4 linked regions of the Anolis sagrei genome follow. The protein of the gene in region 3 interacts with the protein of the main gene of each other region in a pairwise test. Links are inferred from orthologs where the notes say so. Each region holds a gene or a part of one and is shown on either strand. Other genes may lie near its edges. The genes, in order: UBXN2B, TRAFD1, NGLY1 and RAD23B.

Region 1 (7,190 bases), on a different chromosome or scaffold from region 3:
AATTTTAATGAGCAGCTCTTATCCTGAATTCTAAAAACCCCCAAATATTCCAAAACCTCAAACTATCCACTGAGATAGTGGCTGAGATAGTGACAACTTTTCCCCTGATGATTCCACATACACTTTATTACATGCACAAAATTATTAAAATATTGGATACTGTTCCATTATCCAGGCAGAGGTCACTAGGAGATGCTACAAAGAGAAGGATGGTCCATTTTACAGTGAGGGAGTTGATGAAAACCATTCCCCCCATTTTTGCTGCTTATTGAATAGTTGCCTACGTGTAAAGCCATCTTGAATCCCCTCGAGAAGGTGGGATAAATATGGTAAATAAATACATAAATATTTCCACTTCTCATATCATAAATGAGAGTTTCTTCCACGACGGGGACATGGGTGGTGGTGGGGGGGTGAATAACAGGAAAATAGGGGGAAATGATTTTATTCCTTCATCCTCTACCCCCACAACATTCCCATAAAACGGACCATCCATCTCTCTTTAGTGCCCCCTAGTGGCTTCCACCCAGATAATGGAATAGTACCAAATACTGCATATGAAATTATCTTCAAAGGATGCGTATATGAAACAAACATAATAAAAATAAACTGTATTTCTTTCTCGCCTCTCTTCATAGCTGGAGGCAGGGTACAACACAATAAAAATACATAGATAACAGCATAAGACCATGAAAGCACATATATTAAAAGACACAGAACTATGATTAAAACACATTAAAATAATCCATACCAGGCCAGGGCAAACTTTGGCCCCCCAGGTGTTTTGGACTCAACTCCCACAGCAGGTATGCTGTTAGGAATTGTGGGATTTGAAGTCCAAAACACCCGGAGGGCTGAAGTTTGCCCAGGCCTGATCCATACCAATAAAAGGCAAGTTTACATTGTGCTGTCAAAGGCTTTCATGGCCAGAATCACTGGGTTGCTGTGAGTTTTCTGGGTTGTGCTTCTGGAACCTGGCAGCCCGGAAAACTCACAGCAACTACGTTTACATTCATAGGTTGAAACTGACTGGATAAACGTGGAGTATGTTTCCAAAAGGTACCCTCACAAAAAACAGAAAAGAAAAATGAGGTGGCAGCACATTGATGGCTTGGAGTAGACTATGGTGTTATACATATTACACATATAAAAGTTATCAAAATGCATTAAATCATTTAGGTACAGAGTTTGGAAAAAATGTTTGCTATAGCGTAAGAATATGTCAGACGTTTTTAAAAATTCCTGTAAAAAGTGTACATTTTATCTTTTAGAAATAAACTCCACAAACGGGTTTGGTGTTGAAGCCCTTTCATTATGTATAAAGAAGTATTCCGAACTGAAAGAGGAAAAATCCGAGATCATGGCCCCTTCCACACAGCTGAGTAAAATCCCAAATTATTTATTTATTTATTTATTTATTTATTTAGTAGTTTTATATACCGGTCTTCTCACCTCCGTTCGAGGGACTCAGGCCGGTTTCCAACATCAATATTACAGACAGTCATTAAAACATCATATTCTAAATCACACTAAAACATTAAAATAGCAAAATACAATCATAATCATAATTACAGTGGTCAGTCGTCATCAAAAATCATTATTCGTCGTCATCCATCCATATCACAGGATCATGGCTCATTTGTTGAATGCCAATCACCAAAGCTAAGTTTTCACCTGTTTCCTGAATGTTAAGATAGAAGGGGCAGTTCTGATCTCCAGTGGAAGGGAGTTCCAGAGTCGAGGGGCCACCACCGAGAAGGCCCTGTCTCTCGTCCCCACCAGCCACGCCTGTGAGGCGGTGGGATCGAGAGCAGGGTCCCTCCAGACGATCTTAGCAATCTTGATGGTTCGTAGGTGAGGATACGTTCGGACAGATAAATTGGGCCGGAGTCGTTTAGGGCTTTATAGGTTAAGACCAGCACTTTGAATTGTGCTCGGAAGCTGACTGGCAGCCAATTATCTGCTTTATTTATTTATTTATTTATGACATTTATATGCCGCCCTTCTCACCCCGAAGGTCAGAGCGGCTTACAAGTAAAATACAGTACAATAAATAAAATAAATACAATATCTGTTTGGACCCCTCTCTTTAGGCTAGTCTCAGAGCAGCAGTTGGTGTTGGGGGGAGGGGCTCCCAACTGACACCGAAGACAAGATGACAACCCTAAAATCCCAAATTATCTGCTTTGAATTGGAATATATGGTAGTGTGGACTCAGATATCCCAGTTCAAAGCAGGTATTGTGAGATTTTCTGCCTTGATATTCTGGGTTATATGGCTGAGTGGAAGGGCCCTGCTTCCATGCATTTCTGATGAGGGATGCTCAATCTGCATTTAAAAAAATAACTCTCCGTATAGCCATGGCTTCCCTGCACTGGGAACGCATTCCTTCCAAGACTGACGTGACAAAATGTGTCGTCATCGTCAGGGGCACGTTTGCTTCCCATTTGGGCGGAGAAAAGACCCCTAAATCTGTCTGAGCCAAAGAGGAAGGGAGTCATGGGCTTGGCCCACTCTTCCGAACCACCCCAAGGCATCAGGGCTCGGGTTTCTTCTGTAATTCAGGAGGAGGAAGGAGGCGAGAGGGGGCGAGGCCCTTGGGCCGCACACACACTGCCTTCCCTACCTGCAGATCCCGGACGGTGGGCGGGCGGCCGCTTCCTCGGGGCCCTTTCTCCCGCCTCCCTCCGCTGGTACCCGCTGCTGCAGCCGCCTCCGGTTCCCTTTTTTCCTTCTCCTTCTCCTCCTCCTCCTCGTCTTCCTCCTGAGGCCGCTCGGCGAGTGTCCCATCGTCCGCCATCTTCGAGCTGGGCGAGTGCCAACTGCCAAATCCAGAGAGAGGAGCACGCGGGAGGGCGGTTGGGCAGGCGCGCGCCCGCTCGCTCGCTGAGGAGTTCTTCCGGCAGCGAGGGTTGCTATGGCGACCGGCTCGCAGGTGCAGGGCCCACGTCGGTTCCGCTGGTCCCCAAAGCCTCCTCGCTCGAGTTTCTTGCCTGTCTTCTCGGGCCCTCCCTCCGCCCCGCCCACTCGCACCTGTTTGCGCGTGCGCCGTTCCCATTGGCTGGCCCGGCCGTCACTCTGGGTTGACAGGACTCCGAAGGGAGGCGGGCCCAATGTGTGTTATCCTTTCAGTTCAGGGCCGTCACAGGTTGAGCAGCCCTCACACCGAAATTTTGAGGGGGCCAGAAAGTGTTTGGGGCCCCATCTACTACTATATAATACAGTTTGAAACTGCATTATATGGCAGTGTAGATGGGGCTCCCAGTAACTTCTGGTCCCAAGCATATCGGTGTGAACTTGGCAGAGAAATCAAAACACCTTGTAAAACTACAACTCCCATGATTCCATAGCATTGAGCCGTGGCAGTTAAAGGAGTGCCAAACTGCATTCATCACACTGTGCAGATAGACCCTTTCTGATTCGTATATAATTGACTCTCAGGCTGGATCTGTCATGTAAAACAATTCCAGAATGCAGATTAACTGCATTGAACTGGATTTTATGACAATGTAGACTGATAAAATCCAGAATATAGTTAATTTGGATTCTGAAACTGCATTATTTGGCCGTGTCGATGGAGCCAAAGTTAACCGGCACCCATGGGAATTGGTACATGCTGGATAAATCTAGTTTCTGGTTGCCTGAGAGTTATTATTAAAAATGGACGTAACTACTACTATGCCATATCTAAACTCTGTATTGACTTGATATTCATACTGAAATACAGCAACAGCAAATAATGAAAACTAAAGACTAATTTAATATAATGGGTTTATGCTTGATTTAATGAATGGTTATGTTACATTGTTTATGTTGTTTTTGTTAGCTGCTTTGGGTCCATCCGGAAAAAAAAAACCTGCATATAAATTCCAGAAATAATATAATATAATACAATTTAACAATAAATACATGTCCTTTAATTTTATTTAAAGTATTATTTATTTGAATTTTTTGCTGGTTGCTTGAGTTCCGGTTAACCGAGAGTCCACAAAAGCTTACATTCATTAAACATGTTAGCCACTAGAATCAAAGAGTAGAAAGATACAGTCAACGCAGTACTAACAAATGGCCATCCAGCCTCTGCTTAAAAATCTCCAGAAAATTGGACTCTGTCACCCTATAAGGCAGCACATTCCACTGCCAAACAGCTCTTAACTTCAGGATGTACCGAACGAATCTCCCCTTATGAACCTGCAAGGACTTTAAGATTGTCTGGAGAGGCCCTGCTCTCGGTCCCACCATCATCACAAGTACGGTTGGCAGGAACGAGAGACAGGCCTTCTCAGTGGTGGCCCCTTGGCTATGGAACGCCCTTCCTAGGGAGATTAGATCTGCTTCCTCGCTCCTATCATTCCGGAAGAATCTTAAGACATGGCTATTTGAGCGGGCATTTGAAAATACAGAGTAAAGGATATAATAATGGAATAACTATATGGACATTGTTTTAATGATTATCGATTGAAGTATGTGTCATTATAATGTTTGGTTTTATTGTTGCTGATGTATTTTATATTGTATGTTGTAATTGTGTCCTTGGCGGCATTGAATTCTTGCCTTGTAAACCGCCTCAAGTCGCCAGAAGGCTGAGAGGGGCAGTATAGAAATGTACTAAATAAATAAATAAATAAAATAAAATACTTCCTAATCTTTCTTGGACTATTTATTTATTTACCTTGGGAAGCCAGACTTGGCCACGGTGGTCCACACTCTTGCTACATCCAAGATAGAATACTGCAACGCACTCTATGTGGGGTTGCCTTTCAATAATAATAATAAATAAAAAACTTTATTTATATCTCACCACCATCTCTCCAAGGGGACTCGGGGCGGCTTACATTTGAAGACTGCTCAGAAACTTCAAATAGTCCAACGAGAGGCAGCCAAGTCAATAACTGGGGCTGCATACAAGGAGCATACAACTCCCATGTTGCCCCAGCTCTACTGGCTGCCAGTTTGCTACTGGGCACAATTCCAAGTGTGGGCCTTGGCCTATAAAGCTCTAAATGGCCCCAGCCCAATTTACCTGTCCGAATGCATCTCCTCCTATGAACCATCACAGAGATCCTCCATCCTGCCATTGTCACAAACGTGATTGGTGGGGACAAGAGAGAGGGCCTTCTTGGTGATTGCCCCCCCCCCCCCGGCCCGAGTGGTGAGATAAAATAGGCCCCCTCCCTCCTGTCCTTCAGAAGGATGGTAAAAACTTGGCTGTGGGACCAAGCTTTTGGGACAATGCAATAAAACAGTGATAGGAAACCTTTTCAGGCCATTTATTTATTTATTACTATATTTGTATATCGCCCTTCTCAGCCTTTTGGGCGACTCAGGGCAGATTAGACACAGATTATCAAGACTTTTAAACAGTGTATTTTAATATTGACTTTAATATTATTTTGTATTTAATTAATGTATTTTAATATTGATAAAATGTTTTTAATGTTTATGTATGCATATAATGAATTCATGTCCTTGGCATTGAATGTTTGCCTATATATACTGTGCTCTGCCCTGAGTCCGCTTCGGGATGAGAAGGGCAGAATATAAATGTTTTAAATAAATAAAATAAATTTATTTATTTACTGTATTTCCCCCCGCTCTATCTCAACCCTGAAGTGGCTTCCAAATTGGCAATAATTCAAATCCACATTAACATAAGACAAACAAAATACAATACACCTTGTGCGTTAAAGCATGAAAATAATAAAACGCTAACATATAAATATACAAATAAGCTGTTAAAAGATTACACATAGACTAAAAACCATAATCCAGAAGCCGTTCCAATCACATAGCCCTGTGTTACTCTCCAAATGCTTGGTTCCATAGCCAGGTTTTAACTTGTTTTCTAAAGGATAGGAGGGAGGGGGCTGATCTAATTTCACTGGGGAGTTTCACAACCAAGGGGCCACCACTGAGAAGGCCCGGTCCCTTGCCCCCATCAGCTGCCCCAGTGAAGAAGGTAAGACTGAGAACAGGCCCACCCCCAAAAAGATCTTAGCACCCAGGATGGTTTATAGGGGGGATGAATTCGGGCAGGTGAGCTGGGCCAGAACCATTTAAAATCTAGCATTTTGAATTGTGTTCAGTAACAAATTGGCAGCAAGAAGAGTTGACGCAGCATAGGAGTTGTACGTACCCTACATGCCACTCCGATGAGCAGTCTGGCTGCTGCGCATTGGGCTACTTGAAGCTTCTGAACAGTCTTCAAAGGCAACCCCTTGTAGAGTGCGTTGCAGTAATCTAATTGAGATGTAACAAGAGTGTGGACAACTCTTGTTAGTCTGGCTTCTCAAGGGACAGGCGCAGCTGGCGCACAAGTTTTAATATCGCAAAAGCTCCCCTGGCCACCGTCAAGACCTGAGGTTCCAGGCTCAGTGATGAATCCAGGAGTACTCCCAAGCTGAGAACCTGTGTCTTCAGGGGGAGTGTAATCCTGTCCAGCACAGGTTGGACCCCTATACCCTGTTTGGCCATTCAACTGACCAGAAGTACCTCTGTCTTGTTTGGCTTCAATTTCAGTTTTTGAAATATAACAATTAATTTACTCCCTATATGCCAAAATTTATTGTTATTGAAAAGAGAAAAGGCTTTTCTCCTTTTTAGAGGATGCACATAAAATGTATTTAGAAGACTTTGTTAAAAACAAGCCTTTGGAGAGACATTCTTCACCACTAGGTGGTGGTGAAGTAACACTTAATACTCACTAAATATATTAATTTTGCTTTTTCCTTTTTTTCTGTAATGTATTGAAAATCACAACAGCTGTTTTACAAACCTTATTCATGGTACACTAAATTGCAGTTCAATAGTAAAGTTGTTATTCAAAGCTGGTAGCCTGCTATTTTTGACATCTAAATTTGTTATACGCATTTTGTAGAAATACGTTTTAATATATGTATATATAATGTTTATGATGATTATGTGTTTTTAGCTGTTTTATAACCTGCCTTGAGCAACAAGGAGAGGCGGAAAAGAAATAAATGATGATGATGATGATTGGAGGCAAAAAAAAAAAAGACTACAGTTGTCCTTCAACATTTGCAGTTTTGCCATTTGTGGATTTGATTGCTCACAGATAATAACAATAACAACACCTTATCTATATTCCGCATATACAGAGACACAAGGCAAACATTCGATGCCTCAGAACAATGAAACACAGACACACAGATAAAGGTAAAGGCTCTGGG
Region 2 (8,019 bases), on a different chromosome or scaffold from region 3:
GGACCAAACATGTATGTAAAGTTTAAGCCTATTCAAAAATAACGGTAACTGGGGCGAAACGGCGCTCAACAAATCATTACTGAAATCTTGTGGTCCTTGAATCACGTTCGCAGAGGGAACATCAAAGACAATGTCTATTATTCCCGTTGTTCTTAACCTTCCTTTGGTAAGGTTGATACCTAGGCCTTGCATTGTAGCCTTGCCTACGATTATTTTGATACCTTGAGGGACCCCCACGGTTCCCCTGAGCAGAATTATATCCATTAAAGAAACTCTTACGATACGTAGGCGGGGGTTGCTGCCAACGTGGCCTCTGCTGAGCACCCGATTGCCAAGGGTAGTTGTATTTAGCTGCATGTAGTACTTCTCTCGAATGCTTAATCTTGTCATCGGTTGTCGGATCGAAGAGACCTTCCTCGTTCATAGGAAGATCCTCCGCCAACAAGCGGCTCTCCTCTGACAACGTGGAGGCACGAAGCCAAGCATGACGCCGTATTGCTGTGGCTGAGGCAAAAAGTTTACCAGAAGCCTCCGCCATATGTTTTGCGAAATCTTTCTGAAATCTAGCAAGGGTCAAGGCTTTCTTCTGAAACGCCTTAGGGAGTTGGCGGTCGTCTAATGGGAGAAGCTCAATAAATGGTGTGATCTTATTCCAGAGAAAACTCTGGTATCCACTCATGTAAGTGGCATAATGTGCCATCCTATTGAAAAGACCCGCCGCCAAATGAACTTTCTTCCCAAAGGAGTCTATCTTTTTGCCCTCCTTATCTGGTGGGGTAATGGACTGCTTCTTTGGCCGTTTAGATCTAGCAGCTTCAGCCACCACAGTGTTGGGCGTAGTGGGGCGAGCAATCCATTTAGCCACAGAGAGGTCAACCTTATACATGAAATCAACTCTCCTTGGAACGGCCGGAGCAGCTGAAGGGGACACATCTGGCACCTTGGTCAATTTAAGCAAATAAGGTAAAGTAGGGAGGGAAGTAGATGATGGGTTATCCTGTTGATCAGGCGGAAACATGGGATCATCTACAGTTGACTGAGGTTTTAGGGCGGGAATATCAAAAGCCGTTATCATCCTCCCCAGTAACTGCATAAAGTTATTAAAGTCATCTGAACGTTTAGCAGGGGCTTCTTGGTCACCCCCCCCCCCCATGTGATGCTTCCAACCCGTCATCAGACAAGTCAGTGTCAATAGTGTCCTCTCGAGTTGGATCAACAACAGGCAGTTCATCTGATGTCTCAGTGTGAGCCCTCATGGAATGTCGATCATTATAAGAAGGTGCTTGATACATAGGGTTTGAAACCACTCCCTTTCCACGTGGTGGAGGGGAAATCAAAGCCGGGTCCCTTTGGCACATCAAGGGGGCATCATTGTGATACGGCTGCCAAGCCCCTCCTCGTGACGTTGAGGGCTGAGGTGAATGACCATAGTAAATGAATCGCCCCCTAGGCGTCACTTGGTAGAAACCCGGCTCAGGTGGAGGAATTCCATTCCTCTCCTCCCAATCTTCCCAATGAGATGGGCGAGAATGGGGAAAGGAACAACGTTTGCAGGCTTTTGCCTTCTTGCGTCTCGCTTGTGAGCAAGAAGACGCAGAGCACGTTGAGGAGGAAGAGTCGCTAGACGTCGATCGATCCCTACGTCTCCCACTCTTCCTGGACCGTGATGGAGCACGCGCACAGTGCCGCGGCACAGCTACGGGGCTTTCCCGGCCTGAAGGACGGCTTGTGGGAGGAGCCTGTCTTAACTCCTCCCTGGGCTCGCTTATACAAGACGCAGGGTCTGTTGGCGCCAAGAGCGTCGGCATTGGGGGCGTGCCCGAACTCCCTTGAGGCTCTTCTTGCGCACGCGCGAGGCGTGCTCTAGCCGATCCCGGCTCCGCCTCAACTCTCTCCTGCGCACGCAAGGGGCGTGCTTTCGTCGATGCCGGCTCCGCCTCATTGCCTGTTTTTTTTTAAAATAATTTTTATTGCATTTTAGTGAAGTTACAAGGCAAGTGGGGGAATAATTGTGGAGGAGATAGGAAAGTAGGAAATAATAATAAGCATAGAGTGTTGTGGAAAAAAAATATCGAAGGGGGAAAGAAAAAAAAGAAAAAAAAGGAAGGAAAGTGAAAAATAAAAATGAAAAATAAAAATAAAAATGAAAAAGTCAAGAAAAAAATAAAAAAGAGAAAAGAATGGACTTCCATCTGTTCTTTGAAGATCTTCTATGTTTATATTGAGAAAAAAAATCCAAAACCATGGTATATTAAAAAATTGAAAACGAAAAAATATCATTCATTTTAAGTAGTCCATTATGCTTTCCTGTGATGCAGTTATTTATGTTCTATGTTATTAGGTATCAAGGAACGACCTCTATTTTCTGTTGCTTAAAATAATTTTTCACCAAATCCCAGTTTGTGTGTTTTTTCGGTTTTCCTTCATTCGGTGTCAGCCAGTACGTTAGCTCATCCATATTGATTATTTCTAGTATCTTACATTGCCATTCTTCTATTTGTGGTATTTCTTTCTGCCTCCATCTCTTGGCATAAACAATGCTGGCTGCTGTGATCAGGTAGTTGAAAATGATATCTTTATTTTTGTCTCCTATTATATCGTACATTCCCAGCAAGAAGAACTCTGGTTCTTTTCTCATTTTTATGTCAAGTATCCTTTGTATGTTAATATAGATTGTATTCCAATTTTTTTTAGCTTTTGGGCAACACCACCACATGTGGTAGAAGGATCCTATATGTTGATCACATTTCCAGCATCTGTCAGGTGCATTTTTGTGAAACTTTGAAATCTTCTGTGGCGTAATGTACCACCTATGTATCATCTTAAGTTGGTTTTCTTTTAAATTATAGGAGTAGGTGTACTTCATTTTCTGATTCCAAATCTTCTCCCATTGTTCTAAACGAATTTGATGGCCTATGTTTTGTGCCCATTTAATCATTGATTCTTTTATTTGTTCTGTTTCCGTTGTCCATTCTAATAATTTTTTGTAAATTTTTGTTATTATTTTATTGTTTGTCCTCATAATGGTATCCCAGAATCCCTCTTTAGTTCCAAAATTTGATTCTTTATCAATTTTATAGCAATCTAGAATTTGTCTATAGTTCAACCACGATAGGGTAGTGAAAATTTCTTTAATCTCTTTTTCTTCTCTTAACTCAAATGTTCCTCTTTCTGATCTTAGTAAGTCTTCATATGTAGGCCAGGTTTCCCAGCCTAGCTCTCTTTGTTGCCTGTTTGAGGATGCATCGGCCATGTCGCAGCCGATCCCGGCTGGGAAATGGGCTCAGTTGCAAGGGGAGGCTGACTCTGCCTCATCCCCGGTTCGATCAGTATGGCTCTCTTAGGCTGCTTAATGGAACCTTTAGCCTTCTCTATATTTTTAGTTTTCTTAGTCTTCTTCAATGCCTTGGATGCGGTCTCCAATGCAGGTAAGTCTATTTTCTCGGCTGGGTTTTGGTCGCCATTTTGTCCCCTTGGCGTTGGAGGGAGGAGTGCCCGCTCATACAACACCGCTTTAAGGCGGATTTCTCTATTTTTTCTCGTTTGGGGGGTAAAGGATTGGCAAATAGCACAAGTTTGCGACAAATGTCCTTCCCCCAAACATGCAATGCACAGAGAGTGTGCGTCATATCAGGGAAGTTTCCCTGGCAAGTGGAGCAATGCTTAAAGCCTTTAGTTTGAGACACTGTTCTAATTAAAGCGTCTACGCTGATTTAAGTTGAAATTTAAGTTGAAATCTAGAAGTAGTTTTGTCGTCAGATACAGATTTAGTCAAAATTGTTCTCTACAGAAGATTTTGAGCTCGCTGTTAACGCGGATGAAGAGAACTGAGGCGGTTAGCCAGCCCACGGGCTATATATGTGCTCGAGGGGAGTGTGGGCGGGGCCAACCGCCATTTCTTTCAAATTTAACAGAAGATTCCGAAGCTGTGCTGCACGCGCACAGGGGATATTACCATATGTGTGTATTCACAGCAGACCACGCAGGGAAACTAAGGCTCATCTCTTCTTGGAGTTGACCCCCCCTAAAGTCTAGTTCGACTGATCAAGTGGTCCCTGGTCAAAGCGGTCCTTCCTCAAAGTGGTCCCTGCTGAAGAGGGCCCTGGTCAATGTGGTTTCTCATCAAGTGGACCCTGGTCAAAGTGGTCCCTGCTCATGAGGGCCTTGGTCAAAGTGGTCCCTGGTCAACCAACCAAGGATTCTTCCTGGCGGGAAACAGTCCAGCTTTGAAACTGCAAGGCCACTCAATGGTAATCAAGCTGGTCAGTGGCAACAATCACACCATTATTTCTATATTCTTTATGTCATGAAGAATTCACATTCTTTATTTATATCCCACTTTTCTCCCTCACGGGACCCAACATATTAATGCCATACAAATTACAGCCCAAATACTTCAATCCTAACCAGTAAGACCAAAAATGGATATAAAGCATCTTGAAATGGGCCATTTTGAAAAACAGCCATTACAAAACAAATCAGGGCAATCCAACTAATTGCTGAGATGAATCAGCACAAAATAATGATTGCAATCATTCTAAATCCCTGTTCCTTTGTCGAATCATGTAAGAGGCATCTAGAATTACACAGCCATCTGTGCTATCCACTCAGTTACCACAAAAAACGGGTAATGTTATATTCTTGTTTAATAGGAGACGCTTTTCAAGTAGGGCGATGGAAGTAGATAAGATGTTCCTAGGGAGGGGAAAGCGAGGAAGGCGGTTGGCGGGGCCGCGCATGCGCAGTAAGGAGGCCGATTGGCAGGCCGGTTGTTCCTCGAGCGAGGGCTTTCACTTGAAAAGGGCGGGGCGCGGGGAAGCGGGCGGAGAGCGGAGCTGGAGACGGCCCAATGGGGAGGCGCGGGCGGCGGTTGAGGAGAGGCGGCGGCCAATGGGCGCGCGGAGGGCGGGGCTGGCGACGGCCCAATGGGGAGGCGTGGGCGGCGGTTGAGGAGAGGCGGCGGCCAATGGGCGCGCGGGGAAGCAAGCAAGGGGCGGGGCCGGGCGCTGGAGCCTGGCTTGCGCCGCTCTGAAGCGGCCAGTGGGCGGGAGGACGGGCCAGGCGGGCGCCAACGGTCCCGGCCGTTCTTGAGGGGAGGCGCCCCCTCGGGGAAAGGAGAAGGTACTGCGTGGGAAGGCGCTTCAGGCCTAGCTTGGGCCTGCTGGTCTACCTCGCAGGGCTGTGAGGAGGAGCCAAACCAGCCCTGCGAGGTAGGCAAGCCCAAAGAGAGCCCTGCTCCCATTGGCTGGTTCACAAGGATAAAAAGCTGTCAACAAATACACGTTTTAGCACAGGCCTGGGCCAACTTTGGCTCTCCCTCCACGTGTTTTGGACTTCAACTCCCACAATTCCTAACAGCCAGTAGGCTGCAAGGAATTGTGGGAGTTGAAGTCCAAAACACCTGGAAGGAGAGCTGAAGTTGGCCCAGGCCTGTTTTATAATTTATTATAACAAATATAAAATTTTCTAATGTATTATAATAATAAAGTATTTATTTCTAGCCCGCCCTCTCTCCCACAAAGGGACTCAGGGTGGCTTTTAGCACCAATGTCCGTTAGGGGAGGTAGAAGGCAAGCCTTTCAATGGGAGGTATCAGGCACAATTAGCACTCCAATGATTCTAATTGTGGGGGGAAAAGTGACATTGGTTTTGTCTGCTTTCCTCCCCAGGAGCCGTGGGCCCATCCACACCCAGCCTGGCTTCCTCCTTATCCGCAGGGTCTGTTCAGGTAAGTCGGACTCAAAGGTTTGCAGGTCTGGGCGAACTTTGACCCTCCAGGGGTTTTGGACTACAACTCCCATAATTCCTAACAGACGGTATGAATTTTGGGAGTTGTAGTCCAAAACACCTGGAGGGCTGAAGTCGGCCCAGACCTGTCTCACAACCCTTACAAAAGATGTTACCGTTGGAAACTGACAACATCAAAAAAGAATTGGCTGGATGTAATATATAATATATAATTTATTCATTTATTTACTGCATTTCTACCCCGCTCTATCTCATCCAGAAGGGGATGCAGAGTGGTTTCCAGTTTGGAAATTCAATATTACATAATTTATTTTGGGTTGCTGTGAGTTTTCCAGCCTGTATGGCCATGTTCCATGCAGGAAGCAGCCAGACTTCAAAGCTGCAAGGCCCTTCAGTGCTAATCAAGGTGGCTAATGGCAACATTCACACTTGCCTCCAACAGACAAGAGTTCTTTCTCCCACCCTGGACATTCCACAGATATATAAACTCCACTTGCCATGTTTCCAACAAACCTCACAACCTCTGAGGTCAGGAGAGAATGCTTCTGGAACATGGCCAGAGAGCCCGGAAAACTCAGCAACCCAGTGAATTTGGCCCTGAAAGCATTCGACAACACATCATTTATTTATTTACCATATTTCTACCCTGCTCTATCTCTCCCCGAGTGGGACTCAGAGCAGCTTCCAGTTTTGGCAGCCATTCAGTGCCACGTTAAACAGAGAACAGCAATAAATAACACAACAAGCAATAACATCAAAAACATAAAAATACCTTTAAAGCAATTAAAGTTAAAAAAAACTTGGCATGATACTACATTTCCTTTGAAGCTGGGATGCCTCTGCTATCACTGTAAGGAGGTCCTCCGTTGTGCATGTGGCGGGGCTCAGGGCCCTTCCAGGGACAGGCCCTATATCCCAGGATGTGATCCCAGGTTTTCTGCTTTAATTTACACTGAATTACGTGAGTCTGCACTGCCAGATAATAATTTGGAATAAACAGAAAACCTGGGATTGATCCTGGGATATAAGGGCTGTATTGGTCTGTTGTTTGCTCTTCTCCACACTCGCATGTTGTGTACTCCACTTTATGGCCCCATTTCATAAGATTGACTCTGCATCTCGTGGAGCCAGATCACAGCCTGTTCAGTGACTTCCAAGTCACCTAAGGCCCTTCCACACAGCCCTATATCCCAGAATATCAAGGCAGGAAGTCCGACATTATCTGAGTATGGACTCTGATAACCCAGTTCAAAGCAGATATTGTGGGATTTTCTGCCTTGATATTATGGGATATAGGGTTGTGTGGAAGGACCCCCAGTCTTCTGTGTGCCCAGGAGGGAGTTTCTTATCTGATCTCAGCCACAGATTGAGGTTTTGGGTTTTAGCCTGCCACTTTTGGACTCTTGTTTGCTGAGGTGGTCCTGTGAGTATCTCTGCAGATCTTAGGAAGCTGTTTCTTGATTAAAGACATTGGCATGCTGGCTGATATCCAAACGATGGGCTGGAGATGTCCTTTCATTACTGGCTGCTACTTCCTGGCAGATATCAGATGGTGCAATGCCGGCGAAGTAGTATAATTCCTAGTGTACTCAGCAGCAGAGTAGCCAAGTGCAAGGGCAGATGCCTTCACTGTGTCTGACTGTGATCCCTAGGTTGTGCCAGTCAGTGTTCGTATGATATTATTTCTGGCACCTACTTTTTGCTTGATAGTCAAGCAGTGCTTCTTGTAAATCAAAGCATGGTCCAGAGTGACTCCCAGGTATTTTGGTATACTGCAATGCTCCAGTGGAATTCTTTTCCAGGTATTCCTCAGAGCTTGAGGCATTGGGGGAGGGGGTGGGGGGTGGAAAGATGAGAAAAAGTGGACATTGGAGAACTGGAACAATTACCTATATGAACAGGTACAATTCCAAATTATGACAAGTGTCACGAAGCAGGAGAAAATAGAAGCAATCAAAAACAAATGGACAATATATACAGACCAGGGCCCCTTCCAGACAGGCCCTATATCCCAGGATCATGATCCCAGAATTTCTGCTTTAAACTGGATTATATGAGTCTGCACTGCCAGATAATAATCTGGGATAAACAGAAAACCTGGGATCAGATCCTGGGATAAAGGGCCTGTCTGGAAGGGCCCTGGGTAAAAACGGATAAATCCAATACAAATATTATCATGAAAGTAAGAGAATGGTGCACAGGGCTAAAGATAACAAGATAGTGGAAAATGTGGTCGGGAAGGTTGGTGATGGGGGGGAATAATACAGGAGT
Region 3 (7,602 bases):
TCTAGTTCCATGCCTTTGTTCATGTTCTTGTTTTCAAGTACCAGGTTTTGCTTTTATATTTCTGTACTGGATTCTATGTTTCTTGGATTTTTCTTAGAATTCTGCAGTTGCAGTTTTACAAGGTTTTAGTGTTTACTGCCAAAGAGTGCTGGTGCCTCACTAAACTACAAATCCCACAATTTCATAGCCAGGGAAGTTAAAGTGCTATCAAACTGCATCGATTCTACAGGAAGTGCTTGATTTTATTCCGCCAGTACTTCACTACCTCCACTAGCTTCTTGTATGTTTCTAGGTGCAATTAAAAGTGCTAATTGTTAATATCAATCAAGACCACATTGCCCAAAGGACCATCTCTCTATATACACACTTGTCCAGAGTGTAGGATCTTCTGAAGAGGCTCTCCTCCCATACAATCCCGAATTTGCTGGGACAGTCCAGATTAAGCCAGTCATTCCAAATTGTCCAGCTGCTTTTAGTTTCCCTTTCCTCCCACTTCCTCTTTGATTGTTGCAGGCTGAGTTCAGATTGCAAAAGTAATATCTCAGCAGAGATAACAGAATATTGCCCTTCCTCACAGGAAAAGGCAAAAGCAAACTGATGCAGCCTCCGCTACCTTGTGTACAGTATTCCTCTTCATTAATAATTTCTGCCACCTTGATCACACTCTGATGTTGCTTGGTCACACATTTGTGAAATATTGGAGGGTATGTCCTCTGAGTAGAACTATCAAATCAAGTATGGCAAGTGGTTCGAGTGGAAGGGGACCTCTAAGAGTGCGTCTCCAATGTGGAATTAATGCAGTTTGATGCCACTGTAACTGACATGGCTAAATGCTATGAAATCATGGGAGTTATAGCTTGTCGAGACAGCAGCACTCTGTCACAGAAAGATCTAAAGCCCTTGCAAAACTACAACTCCTATGATTCCATAGCTTTGAGCCACGACATTTAATGTGGTGTCCAACTGCAATAAGCCTACAATGTAGCGCAACCTGAGTTCTAGAACCTTTTCTAATAGATTATTAATTGTTTGGAAGTTACTGGTGGGGTTTCAGTCCACATTATTCCTATTCCTTTGGTACATGTCAAATCTGCATTTCAATATGCCCAGAATTATTTGTAGTAATTGCATTTATATCTGGGGATATATATATATGAGAGAGAATGACTGGAGTGCATTATTTACCGGATATACATAAAATTATACATATATTGTTGAAATAGCATTTGAGGGCACTTGGGGAAAGATAACTGCCCCAGTCTAGTCCAATATTTCATGCCAAATGTGTTTTGGATCCTTTGGCATAGCATTGCACATTGAATGTGTCTTCCCAATGGTTTGATTTTAATATAATACAATAATATAGGTAGATACAGATATAGATAATATATTATTATTATTATCATATTTATTTTTACCCCTCTTTATTTCTCCCGAAGGGGATACAAAGAGGCTTTTTGTAGCTCTATTCCTTTTGGATTTATTCTGATATTTACTCCATTTTCTGAGGAACTGGAAAGATGGTTAAAGCATCCTCCTGTGACTCCAAACTCATTACAGTGTATGTTATTTAACAGCACTGTTAAATACCAAGGTGCTTGTTTATAAAGCTATTGTCCTCCGAACCCTGCTATATGCCTGCGAAACGTGGACTGTCTACAGACGTCACATGCAACTCTTAGAACGATTCCATCAGCGCTGCCTCTGGAAAATTCTACAAATCTCTTGGGAAGACAAGCGGACAAATGGCAGCATGCTGGAAGAAACAAAAGACCACCAGCACTGAAGCAATGGTCCTCCGCCATCAACTCTGCTGGACCGGATGCCCGACCACCGTCTTCCAAAGCAGTTGCTCTACTCTGAATTCGAGAATGGAAAACAGAATGAAAAGAGATTTAAAGATGGGCACAAAGCCAACCTTAAAAACTCTGGCATAGACACTGAGAACTGGGAAGCCCTGGGCTGTCAGGAGGTCAGCTGTGACCAGCAGTGCTGCAGAATTTGAAGAGGCATGAATCGAGGGAGAAAGCGAAAAACGTGCCAAGAGGAAGGCGCGTCAAGCCAACCCCAACTGGGACCACCTTCCACCTGGAAACCAATGCCCTCGCTGCGGGAGATGAAGCAGATCAAAAACAGGGCTCCATAGTCACCTATGGACCCACCCTGGAGGATTATCCTACTCGGACAACGAGGGATCTCCTAAGTAAGTTAACAGCAAAATACATGCATTTTAGAGAAGCCCAAGGTTCTGACATTTTCTCATTGTTTCACCATCTCTGTGCTTTCTGAGTGGTGTATATGCACTGCCATATTCAGAATAAAAATTCATCAAACTGACATTCTAGATTCCTTTGCATGATGGATTTTTGTGCATTTTGGTTGGCCCATGAACAGATCCCTCTTTTGTGGATTTTATTGTATTTTGCTGCATGGCCATTATAACTATCCCTGCATATATTCTTTAGATGGCTTGACCTCTCACATTAGTGCGGTTGCTTCACAAACAAATCCATCTTCCTATTAATGTTATTAAGCAATGAATGGATTAATGCATTAAGATAGGTGTGCTGTAAGCACAATCTTGCTATTTATACTCTTATTCTTGAAATATCCACGTGTTGTTTATGCTCCTTAAATAGCATGCCTGCTTAATAGGCCATCCAGAGGGAGAGATCTGATTGCATCTGACCATAAGCAGGTAATTGCTTCTATTTACTATAGGATGGCATACAACGGAATGATCCCGCCCGCGCCACAGAAAACAAAAACATCGGCGAGCGTGATCCGTAAGGTTTAACAGCCGCTGAGTCGAGCCTCCGCGCAAAGAGACGGGCGCAAAGACTCCTCCAGCCCTCGCTCCTGTTGTTTGCCGGGCCCGCCCGCCCCTCTCACCTGATGATATTATCCGCATAGGTAAGCAGCAAGCGGGAGGCCTCTAAAAACGTTTCTGTGGGATTCTGGCAGAGCTCGCTCACGGCTCGCGAAGGCAGCGGCGCGGAAGGTCCCAACGCGGCCGCCATCCTTCCGAAGCGGTGCTTGTGCTTGCCTACCAGTAAGGGAGAAAGTTCTATTTCGTTCTGCGCCCGCCCGCACTTAATTCCTGAGAAAGCTGACTCAGGCCAGCCGACTCCAAGCCGGAGCTCCCCCTCCCATTCAGGAACTCAGGGGAGGAGGGCGGGGCAGCGCGTGCGACAGGAGGCCTCCATGTTGGGAGTGGGTGGCGCGCATGCGCAGCAGGAAGACATCCACCTTTGGCCTTTGTACAGGTTGGGGCGCCTCTTATCCGAAATGGTTGGGACCAGGAACGCTTGGGATGCGGGAGTCTTTCGGATTTCGGAATATTTGCATATATATAACAAGATATGAAGATGGGACCTAAATCTAATCATTTATGTTTCATATATTCCTTATGGTTGTAATTTTAGACAAGGCTTGTGTACATTGAGGCATCAGAAGACACAGGTGTCACTGTCTCAGCCACACAATTTTGAATTTTTGGAGCACAGACTCAGGGCCCTTGCAGACAGACACTATATGCCAGGATCTGATCCCAGGTTTCCTGCTTTAAATTGGATTATATCAGTCCCCACTGCAAGATAAGCTGGGATAAACATAATTTTATTTATTTATTTATTTAGAGCTTTTATAACCCGGTCTTCTCGACCTCCGAAGAGGGACTCAGACCTGTTCACAACAAAAGATTCATAGACAATAGTATAAAAACATCACAACCTCATAATACACTAATCCATAAAATACAATAATATAATTACATAAAGCCAGGTCGTCAGAATGAAATCACAGTTCAGCACCATCCGTCAGTGTGGTCAAGAGTTATTGACTCACTCATCAAATGCCATATTCCAAAGCCAAGATTTCACCAGCTTTCTAAAAGTCAGGAGAGAAGGGGCAGATCTAATCTCCAGTGGGAGAGACTTCCAGAGCCAAGGGGCCACCACCGAGAAGGCCCTGTCCCTCATCCCCACCAGAAAACCTGGGTCACATTCTGGGATATAGTGTCTATCTGCAAGGGCCCTGAGTCTGTGCTTCAAAAATTCAAAATTGTGTGGCTGGGTCAGTGACACCTTTGTCTTGTGATGACGCAATGTACACAAACCTTGTCTCAAATTACAGAAAAGCTGCGATCAGATCCTGGGTAATAGTATGAAAGCTGAGTCTGGAAGCTCTAAGCCAGTGGTTCTGAACCTTCCGAATGCCACAACCCCGTAATACAGTTCCTCATGTTGTGGTGATCCCCAACCATAAAATTACTTCCGTTGCTACTTCATAACTGTAATTTTGCTATTGTTATGAATCATAATGTAAATATCTGATATGCAGGATGTATTTTCATTCACTGGACCAAACTGGGCACAAATACCTGATACGCCTAAATTTGAATACTGGAATTTATTTTGTCATTTGGGTGTTGTAGTTACTGAGATTTATAGTTCACCTAAAATCAAAGTATTCTGAACTCCATCAACGATAGAATTGGGCCAAACATGGCACACAGAACCCGCATACTAACAGAAAATACTGTGTTTTCTGGTGGTCTTTGGTGACTCCTCTGACGCCCCCTCGTGACCCCCCCACGGGTCCCGACCCCCAGGTTGAGAAACGCTGCTCTAAGTGTTACACTGTTTCCGCTTCGCTCCTGCGGGAGCACTGTTTGTGCAACGCAGAATGGAACACAAATATTATAGAAGGAATGTAAGAGTTCTTTAATGGTAAAACGCTAGTCCTTTCCTGAACCCTTACCCTAAGCCTAACCCGAATCCTAACCCAAACCCTAAACCTTACCCTAAGCCTAACCCTTACCCTACCCCAACCCTTACTCTAAACCAGTGGTTCTCAATCTGGGGTCCCCAGATGTTTTTGGCCTTCAGCTCCCAGAAATCCTAACAGCTGGTAAACTGGCTGGGATTTCTGGGAGTTGTAGGCCAAAAACATCTAGGGACCCCCAGGTTGAGAACCACTGCTCTAAACCTTATCCTAACCCTCCCCTCCTTTCTATCTTTTCACCAAATGCAACTATGAAGAATATTCTCCCCTTCCCTTATTCACAACCACCATTGCGGAATTTGCATAATGCTCAGAGCTCCCGGACACAGCTATCATACTATCACCAGGGCCTGTCTGGAAGGGCCTTCAGTTAATCAGCATCCATGACAGATACATTTAGTTTCTGTTTGCTTTGTTACTATTCAAAATAGGCCAGACTAATAGTATATCTGATACTATATCATGCCATAAACTGTATTGCCTTGACAATAATATTGGAAAAAAATAATTAAAAGCAAATAATGTAGCACAGTTTTAACAATATGGAGTTCCCCAGCAGCACAATGGGTTAAACCCTTGTGTCGGCAGGACTGAAGACTGACAGGTCGCAGGTTCGAATCTGGGGAGAGTGCGGATGAGTTTCCTCTGTCAGCTCCGACACACCATGTGGGAACATGAGAGAAGCCTCCCACAAGCATGGTAAAACATCAAAACATCTGGGCATCCCCTGGGCAACGTCCTTGCAGACGGCCTATTCTCTCACACCAGAAACAACTTGCCATTTCTCAAGTCACTGCTGACATTAAAAAAATGGTAACCGCATTTTTATTTAAATTATGATTTCTTAAATTTCCTTGCCGGTTGCTGGAGAATTCAGGAAGCTTGAGTTACTGTTAACTGAGGCTAGATCGGCACTGCCATATAATTAATAATAATAATTACTTTATTTGTATTCTGCCCTATCTCTCCGAGGGGACTCAAGGCAGATTCCAACAACGAGAAGGCAAACATTCAATGCCTGAAACAACAATAAATGCAAATATATAAAATACAAAAACAATACTAAACCACCCAAAACCCAAAATAAACCAACATACACCACAACAATGGAGCCCCTGGTGGCACAGCAGGTTAAACCTCTGAGATGCTGAACTTGCTGACCGAAAGGTTGGCGGTTCAAATCCGGGAAGCATGGTGAGCTTCTGCTGTTAGTCCCATCTTCTGCCAACCCAGCAGTTTGAAAACATGCTAATGTGGGTAGATCAATAGGTACGACCCCAGCAGGAAGGTAACGGGACTCCATACAGTCATGTTGGCCCCATGATCTTGGAGGCGTCAACGGACAACACCGGCTCTTCGGCTTAGAAATGGAGATGAGCAACCCCCCCCCCCCCAAAGTCGGACACGACTAGACTTAATGTCAAGGGGAAACCTTTACCTTTACTATAGCGAAATGAACCGACATACATCCAATTAAACCCACATGTAAACCCAAATTATAACAACCTAAAATTAAATTTAAATTATGTTCAGCATAAAAATATGAACCTTAATTTATATTTTAAAAACCAAGTTTCAATTGCAATTACATTAAAATTAAATATATTGCTGTGCTGTAACAGAGCCAACAAGCCAAAGTGCAAAAACAAATTCCAGCCATCAGTATGTTAGGTGTCTATGGTCATCTAGGCCTCCTCATCTCCATATGCTAAAGAGCAAAGGTGAGTTTTTAATTATGTTTTGAAGGAATGCAGTGAGGGGGCAATTTTTATCTCTTTAGGGAGGGCATTCCAGAGGTGGGGCGCAATCACGGAGAAGGCTCTCTCTCTCATTCCTATCAGTCGTACTTGGGGTGGGGGTGGAACCAAGATTAGGGTTTCCTCTGCTGACCGCAATGTCCGAGTTGGTTTATAAGTCCATGATGACCAAACCACATGATTCCAAACATCATTTTCATATGGTAGTAATGATAGCTCTGACTAACACACGCACACATTAGAAAGGTAAATTAGAAGAGTTGTAGCTCTATTGATACAGTGGAGCCATTTCCACCCATTTTACATGAATGACATCTTTTTACTATGCTGTTGTATATAATGGATCTTAGAGCATCCACAAATTTTGGTATCCATGGAGGGTTTTGGAACCAAACCCCAGCTACACATGTCAACTGAAATTACAAGAAATTGTTTTGTGGTTATATCTAAGTATAGACATATTTTTATTAAAAACACAGCATGTGTACACAGTTATTTTGGTGACATCCCCTCTGATGGTGTCACCCAGTATGGCTCGCACCACCTAATAATTTTGTTACAGAATTGTATACGATTTCCGAACAGACATTTTTTTCCTCCCCTCTGAAATTACCATTACATTTTCTGCACAGTTAGATAACACAGATTGAGGTCATTTTAAAAGTCTTTCTTGTCAGAACTCTTACTCAGCTAAAATAAGCAATAACTATAAAGGCTGCATTCCTGTGCACATTTGACGTTCAGCTGTTTGTCTCAATGCAGTACCTTTAGCCACTGAAAATAATGACTGAGGTTGATGGGAGCAGCAATACACAACGTGTAGGAAACAATTTTGAGAGAAAAGTTGTCAAGGAATAAATCCCTCTGAATTCCAGAAGTTAATTCCAAACAAATATTTATGTAACCTGGTTGTATAGCCCATTGAAAGCCTTTTCACTTTTACTGGAACTGGCAGCATAATTTTGTGCAAATTTGATCAGTAAGTCTTGTATTTAATATCAGCTGTCAGAATTTAAGACACAACTGAAGACCCTTCTCTTTGGGCAGGCCTACCCGGTCA
Region 4 (7,245 bases), on a different chromosome or scaffold from region 3:
CAGACAGAGGAAAGCACATGTATATACAGACATCTACATTACTATGTGTCGAAAATCATTCCAATATTTTGACAGTGCAAATTCTATCACTGATAGGCGTGTGCACATGTGCCTTCAATGAGCCTGTTGCTTTATAGAAATCCAATTAATTTCATAGGTTACTCTTAGGCGAGGAATACTCAGGGATAGTTTTGCTAGTTCTTTACTATGAAATATTGCCCATGACATTTAATTTTCATTGGTGGTCTTTCATTCAAGTACTAACTAGGGCTGACCCTGCTTAGAGTCCATCAGATGGGATCTGGTGTGTTTAGGACATTTCAGCAGGTTTGTGTCGAGTCCCAAAACAAAGTCTCTTTAAAAAGAAAACTCAGCAGTGTTTTGCTAAATCCTTCCTCTGAAATATAACTTGCAGTACCTGGCATTTATCGTTGGTTTCCCATCCAAGCACTAACCAGGTCTGACTCTCCTTCAAGATCAGACTGGATATAGTCTTAAGGGGTTTAGACCACTTTTCTGATAGCTACCCGAATTACAAAGACAGTATAAGCTTAGTACAACCTTTTTGGGTAGCATGTGTCATATGTTAGGAACTTTCCTCCTCTGCGAGTTTCCAGGATCAGCACTGAGTCCAGGAAGACCCCCAAACTGCAGACCTGTGTAATCAGGAGGAGTGTCACCCCGTCGAGCACAGGGTGCAACCTCACGACTGACCAGGAAGACCTCTGTCTTGTCTGGATTTAGCTTCAGTTTGTTAACCCTCATCCAGTCCATCACAACTGCCAGGCACTAGTCCAGAACTTCGGGGAGCTTCCTTGGATTTTGGTGGAAACGAATAATAGTTTGTGTGTCATCTGCATACAGAAGACACCAAACTCCTAAACTCCAAAGACCTCACTCAGCGGTTTCATGTCGATGGGGGATAGAATAGAACCTTGCACGACTCCACAAGTCAATGGCCAGGGGTCCGAGCAGGTGTCCCCCAGCACCACCATCTGGGTCTGGTCCTCCAGGAACGAGTGGAGCCACTGCAATGCAGTGCCACCAAGTCCTATTCCAGAAAGCTGGCCCAGAAGGATACCACGGTCGATGGTATCGAAAGTCACTGAAAGATTCAAGAGAACCAACAGGTACACACTCCTTGTCAAGCTCCATGTGAAGGTCATCCACCCAGGTGACCAAAGCTGTCTCCATTCCATGACCATTGGAGTCCACGTTGCCATATATTCCAGTCCAAAGCAGATAATGTGGGATTTTATTCAGCTGTGTGGAAGGGGTCTGAGGGCCCTTCCAGAAAGGCCCTATATCCCAGGATCTGATCCCAGGTTTTCTGTTTATGCCAGATTATCTGGCAGTACGAACTCATGTAATTCAGTTTAAAGCAGAAAACCTGGGATCAGATCCTGAAATATAAGGGGTTTGGGTTGGATGGCCCCTGTGGTCTCTTCCACAGCCCCTTCCACACAACTGAATAAAATCCCACATTTTCTGCTTTGAACTGAAATATATGGCAGTGTGGACTTAGATAACCCAGTTCAAAGCAGATATTCTGGGGGGCCTTCCACATAGCCCTATATCCTAGAATATCAAGGCAGAAAATCCCACAATATCTGCTTTGAACTAGGTTATCTCAGGGCCCTTTCACACAGCCTTATATCCCAGAATATCAAGGCAGAAAACCCCATATTATCTGAGTGTAGACTCAGATAACTCAGTTCAAAGCAGATTTTGTGGGGTTTTCTGCTTGATATTCTGGGATATAGGGTTGTGTGGATGGGCCCCTAGAACATCAAGACACAATAACCCACAATATCTGTTTTGAACTTGGTTATCTGAGGGCCCTTCAAGACACGCCATATATCCCAGGATCTGATCCAATGATTTGTGTTTATCCCAGATTATCTGGCAGTGGGGACTCATATAATCCAGTTTAAAGCAGAAAACCTGGATTCCGATCCCGGGATATAGGGCCTGTCTGGAATAGCCAGGAATCCACATTGCCATATATCCCAGGGCCCTTCCACACAGCCCTACATCTCAGAATATAAAGGCATACAATCCCACAGTATCTGCTTTGAACTGGGTTATCTGTGTCCACACTCAGATAATGTGGGATTTTCTCCCTTGGTATTCTGGGATATAGGGCTGTGTGGAAGAGTTCCCAGTTTAGAGCAGATCTGGGGTTGTACTCAGCTGTGTGGAAGGGGCCTAAATATTATGATTCTAAAACCTCCTGGCTCACTTCTCCCGCGCATGGATCCCAATAGTGGCGCATGCGCACACGGAGCCACGGACGGACACACACAGAGACAGCCTGAGTGACACACACACACACCCCTTCCTCGCGCGAAGCGATAATGCACAGTCATGGCACCCTTTCCCCTTCATAAGCAGGCCCGCCCACCCTTTGCGCGACGGAGACGACACTCAATACCCTTGTCACCACCCAACGAAGCAGCAAGAGCCGTCATGGCGGAAAAAGGAGGGGGGGGAGAGGTTTCCCCTCTTCGCGAAGAAGGGTCTCGAGGCCCGCGCGCAGGCCTGGCCTATAGCATGGAGCCGTTTCCATAAGCGACCAATGGCGCGCCAACTTTTCCCTCCTCACCCCCCCCTTCCCCTCCCCCCGCTAAAAAACTTCTACAGGCCTCTTTGCGAGCTAGGCCTCGAGGAGGCTCTCCTTCCAGGCCCCGCCGCCATTTGAGGCCTAGCAGCCCTCCTCTTCCCCGCCGCCCATCCCTTTCCTCTTCCTCTCAGGCCGCACCGTCTCCTCAGGGTCGATGTCTATCTTGAAGGTCTGCTGCTGCAGCGTCTTCAGCGTGACTTGCATGGCGGCGGCGGCTGCTTGGCAGTGGGGCCTCCTCCCCCGGCGGAGCCAACCCGCACCCTCCTCCTTTCTTCCTTCCTTTCCTTCCTTCTTTCCTTCCCTCACGGAGGACGGCAGGCAAGCTCCAGCGACGTTGGGAGAAAGGAAAAAGGGAGGGAGGGAAGGGGGGCAGTGGGCGGAGCCACGACGCGCCAGACGTCCCCATGCGCGCGCACCGGCGCAGGCGCACTCCGGAATTCTCACGCTCAGGGCAGGGAGGGGGCCGCCGCGGTTGGCGCCGCCGCCGCCATGATGACGACAGCGCGCGTGACGCTGCAGTCTCGTGACGGCCCCTCCGAGAAAGTCCGCCAGCGGGAAAAAGGAAGAACTGCGCATGTGCGAGCGGGACTCTTCTTCCCCGCGGAAGAAAAGGATGAGGGAAGCGTCAGAGAATAAAACCAGGAAGGAGAGCAGGATTTGAGGAAGGAAGTAGGCGCAGAGGTGAGGAAGAAGGGAGAACTCAAGAACGTATTGACTGAGGGCCCTTCTACACAGCCATATGACACAGAATATAAACGCAGCCAATATATCTGCCTTGAACTGCGCTATCTGAGTCTACATAACCGGGTTATCTGAGGGCCTTTCCACACAGCCATATAACCCAGAATATCAAGACAAAAATCCCACAATATCTGCTTTGAACTGGGTTATCTGAGTCCACACTGCCATATAATCCAGTTCAATGTGGATTTTATACAGCTGTGGAAGGGGCCCAAAACAGAATAATCCTTTGAGGCAGCTGAAAGTGCAATTTCCCTGGATTTCTCTTTTACCACACTTTAAACTCCTGAGGCGAGGAAAGAGAAAGAGTACACACAGGCCCCTTCTACACTGCTATAAAATCCATATTATGAGGCAGTGTGTACTCATATAATCCAGTTCATAGCCGATGATGTGAATCATCTGATTTAATAATCTGGATTATATGACAGTGTAGAAGGGGCCTTGGTGATAGTATGATAGCTGGGACCCAGTGCTGCTAGCACGACACTGTTTCTGCAACGCAGGTTCGGGTATGTTGGTAGCGCAACGCGGGTCAGAATCAGGGAAGGGAATATATGTGCAAGACAGTGCACCTGTCTTCACCAGCTTCATGGCTACCCCACATCCAGCCTGTCCACAAACTGAACAGCGTTGCCCAATAATTAAACGTGCCTCCAAAGAACTCACTTCCTGCTCAGTTGTGCGAAACTGCTCAATAAACTGGATTTCATTAATTCCTCACCACTCCTTGTATGTCTCTCCTTTTTATCCTTCCTTCGAATGCAACAACGAACTATCTTCCCGACTCTGTTGCACCTGCGTCTCTCACTCTGTCTGCTCTCTCGTCCACGTCATTCACGTGTTTCCTTCCCTCATTCACAACCACTGTTGCGAAAACAGCGTAGCGCTAGCAGCACTGGGTCCCAGCTATCATACTATCACTGTGGTCTCATATAATCCAGTTCAAAGCAGATAATATGGATTATCTAGTTCAGGGGTCCTCAAGCTAAGGCTTGAGGGCTGAATACGGCCCTCCAAGGTCATTTACCCGGCCCTCGCTCAGAGTCAACCTAAGTCTGAAATGACTTTAAAGCACACAACAACAACAATAACAATTCTATGTCATCAGCCAAAAGCAAGGCCACACTTCCCATTGAAATACTAATACATTTATATTTGTTAAAATTGTTCTCCATTTTAATTATTGTATTGTTTTTAAGTGTGGGGTTTTTTGCACCACAAATAAGATATGTGCAGTGTGCATAGCAATTCATTCATTTTTTTTCCAAATTATAATCCGGCCCTCCAACAGTTTGAGGGACTGTGACCTGGCCCTGTTTAAAAGTTTGAGGACCCTGATCTAGTTGATGATCTGGATTATATGGCAGTGTAGAAGGGGCCACAGTCGGTTTATGTATGTGGTGAGAGCAGAGTATATAGACAGTACACACAGATAGGTACACAAATATGTGTATATATACTCATGTGAGGAGTCACATATATATGTGCGGTAATAATAGTAAATTTTATTACACAACTCTCACAACTTCACGTGAGGCACAACACAGTAAAAAGCATTAACATAAAATACATACTTTAACACATTACTATAAAATACATGTATTAAAACGTATGGTATAAAGATGAAAATGCTATAGTTATAGAATGTAAATATAAAATTCATGGTTCAAAATTTGCTGAGTAGGCCTGTTGAAAGAGATGGGTCTTTAGTCGTGTTTTAAATATAAATATGCATATATGTGCATGCAGCATGCATACAGCTTATACATGGTAGGCCAACAGTCATTAAGGGGCTTCAATCTTTAATAATGCCTTTCAAAAAAAAAAAAACAACAACACATCAGGACCTGCCTAAAAGTACTATTCTGTCTTAGTGAATGTGTGCTTACATTGCTTACATGTGTGCGTGGCAGTGCCTGCCTGTGTGTGCATATGTACAGGCAGTCTTCAAGTTATGAACAAGATAGGTTCTGTAGGTTTCTTCTTAAGTTGATTTTTTGGTAAGTTGTACAGGTACATTATTTAAGGGTAACTCCAGACACACACATGCATATATAGGCTTTGGATAGCATAGGGAAGTGTTAGCACTCTTGTGTTTGTTTTGCTGTCAGTGCCCCTGTTCATAAGATTTCACCTCACTTTCTGTCCCTGTGATTATTGGGTTTTGAAAAAAATTGGCTTGTTGTGGAAAAAAGGATTGGTGATGAAGCTTCAGTGGAGACCACTTTTCCCCATGAAAACTCTTTCAGGGATGAATTTCTCTCACTTCCTGTTGTCTCAGCCCCATTCTTAACTATGAGTCATTTGTAAGTTGAATGTTTGTAACTCAGGGACTGCCTGTACACAAACATGTACACAAACACACATATCCATTCTTATTTTTTCTGCTCTATAGGATTACAGTCTGCAACGGATTTTTGTGACAGCAGTCCTGTATACATTATTTGTGAGCCATTCTTGTTGATCTCTAAGAATTAACTCCTGTTAGACACAAAAGTCATGTTCTTTTGTGATAGCTTTCACTATATTTATTGAGTTTCGTTTGTACTTTTACTGGAATTGGAATGTCAAAGATGTTCAAAAAGGAATTGACACAGTTGAAAGTTTAATTCAAAATGCAGTGCAATAGCAAAGCAACAAACAGGAAGCAAATTCCTCACTGATCAGAAGTGCTTCTTTCTTTCCCGGAAATTTGCAAAGCACTACCAGCTGTGCAGGGACCAACACTTTGATTAGTACTGCTGTCCTGCAAAAGAGATTGGTAATAATGTGGGTGGAGGGCCACTCAGCATCTGGGTCTCTTTCACACTATGAAATCATAGTGTTACGATTCCACTTTAACTGCCATACTTGCATCCTATGGAATTGTGTAGTTTATATTTTAGTGAGGCCCTAGAGTTCTCTAATTTTGAATTCTAAACACTCCATCCTAATCTGCAATTCCATAGTGTCGACACTGCTCTAACCAATTAAGACTTTAAAGGTTGAGAAATATTCAAAAATTTTAACGGCTGAAATGAATAGAGACAACCATTTGTCCTCCAGATAATTCTGTATATTAACTTCTGCTAGTCCTAGCCATTCTGGCAAGTGGTCAGCAATGATGGAAATTGTAGTCCAGCAGACTTGCTGATCACTAGTCAGCCATGGCCAATAAAACTCTTAATTGGACTTGGAAGATAACTGGCAACAAGCTCATGTTTTTCAGCATGGGTTAACAGTTATTATGATACTGAGTGAGCATCTGTTATTCAGAATTCTGCTGTCTGAAATAAAGATACCTTTGCTTTCTGATGGCTTAGTTTATACAAATTTGATTTCATGCACAAAATTATATAGTGTTACAAACACTCAAGTTATACATAATTCTTCATGGAGAAAAGGAACATATAATATACTTTTGTTTTATGTTCATTTTCCCCAAAAAGTACATTATCAATTTTCTCGTATGGCTAGAGTGCTGTAGATGTATGCTAATTCTTTAAATAGTCATTTCGTGAACACACAGGTTGAACAGTTAGCAAATAGTGAAACACATGGTGATCATGATTTGTTACCAGCCTCTCCTCACAACAGGGGGCAGGGCACAACATAGTTAAACACATCATCATAAAAACATTCAATAAAATGCATATATTAAAACATTTTTATGTAAAACACACACACTAAGATTCATGGAACAAAGATCAAAATACAATAGTCATAGAATGTAAATTTAAAATTCATAGTTTGAAATTGACCAGATAGGCCTGCTGGATGAGATTGGTCTTCAGTTGTATCTTGAATTCCTACAACTGATTTTGCTGATTAATCTCTTCCAGCAGGTCATTCCATAGTCTTGGAGGAGCTGACAGTCGCTAGTCAGGTTCTGGCTGGTT

What was found.
Region 1: the proteins of NGLY1 (region 3) and UBXN2B interact in binary tests that used the Homo sapiens proteins (3 or more experiments, as listed by UniProt). The two-hybrid records come from large-scale screens. The link is inferred for Anolis sagrei from reciprocal best matches to the Homo sapiens genes NGLY1 and UBXN2B.
Region 2: the proteins of NGLY1 (region 3) and TRAFD1 interact in binary tests that used the Homo sapiens proteins (3 or more experiments, as listed by UniProt). The two-hybrid records come from large-scale screens. The link is inferred for Anolis sagrei from reciprocal best matches to the Homo sapiens genes NGLY1 and TRAFD1.
Region 4: the proteins of NGLY1 (region 3) and RAD23B interact in binary tests that used the Homo sapiens proteins (3 or more experiments, as listed by UniProt). The two-hybrid records come from large-scale screens. The link is inferred for Anolis sagrei from reciprocal best matches to the Homo sapiens genes NGLY1 and RAD23B.

The regions. Positions count from the first base shown.
Region 1 is NC_090024.1:48,752,527-48,759,716, forward strand, and holds the start of UBXN2B (UBX domain-containing protein 2B), read right to left. Parts: upstream 3,018-7,190; 5' UTR 2,801-3,017; coding exon 2,627-2,800; intron 1-2,626. UniProt on the Homo sapiens protein: Adapter protein required for Golgi and endoplasmic reticulum biogenesis. Involved in Golgi and endoplasmic reticulum maintenance during interphase and in their reassembly at the end of mitosis.
Region 2 is NC_090034.1:30,491,200-30,499,218, reverse strand, and holds the start of TRAFD1 (TRAF-type zinc finger domain-containing protein 1), read left to right. Parts: upstream 1-5,014; 5' UTR 5,015-5,121; intron 5,122-5,129; exon of another isoform or gene 5,130-5,210; intron 5,211-5,669; 5' UTR 5,670-5,728; intron 5,729-8,019. UniProt on the Homo sapiens protein: Negative feedback regulator that controls excessive innate immune responses. Regulates both Toll-like receptor 4 (TLR4) and DDX58/RIG1-like helicases (RLH) pathways.
Region 3 is NC_090026.1:84,840,150-84,847,751, reverse strand, and holds the start of NGLY1 (peptide-N(4)-(N-acetyl-beta-glucosaminyl)asparagine amidase), read right to left. Parts: upstream 3,021-7,602; coding exon 2,893-3,020; exon of another isoform or gene 2,728-2,892; intron 1-2,727. UniProt on the Homo sapiens protein: Specifically deglycosylates the denatured form of N-linked glycoproteins in the cytoplasm and assists their proteasome-mediated degradation. Cleaves the beta-aspartyl-glucosamine (GlcNAc) of the glycan and the amide side chain of Asn, converting Asn to Asp.
Region 4 is NC_090022.1:200,263,919-200,271,163, reverse strand, and holds the start of RAD23B (UV excision repair protein RAD23 homolog B), read right to left. Parts: upstream 3,003-7,245; 5' UTR 2,828-3,002; coding exon 2,762-2,827; intron 1-2,761. UniProt on the Homo sapiens protein: Multiubiquitin chain receptor involved in modulation of proteasomal degradation. Binds to polyubiquitin chains.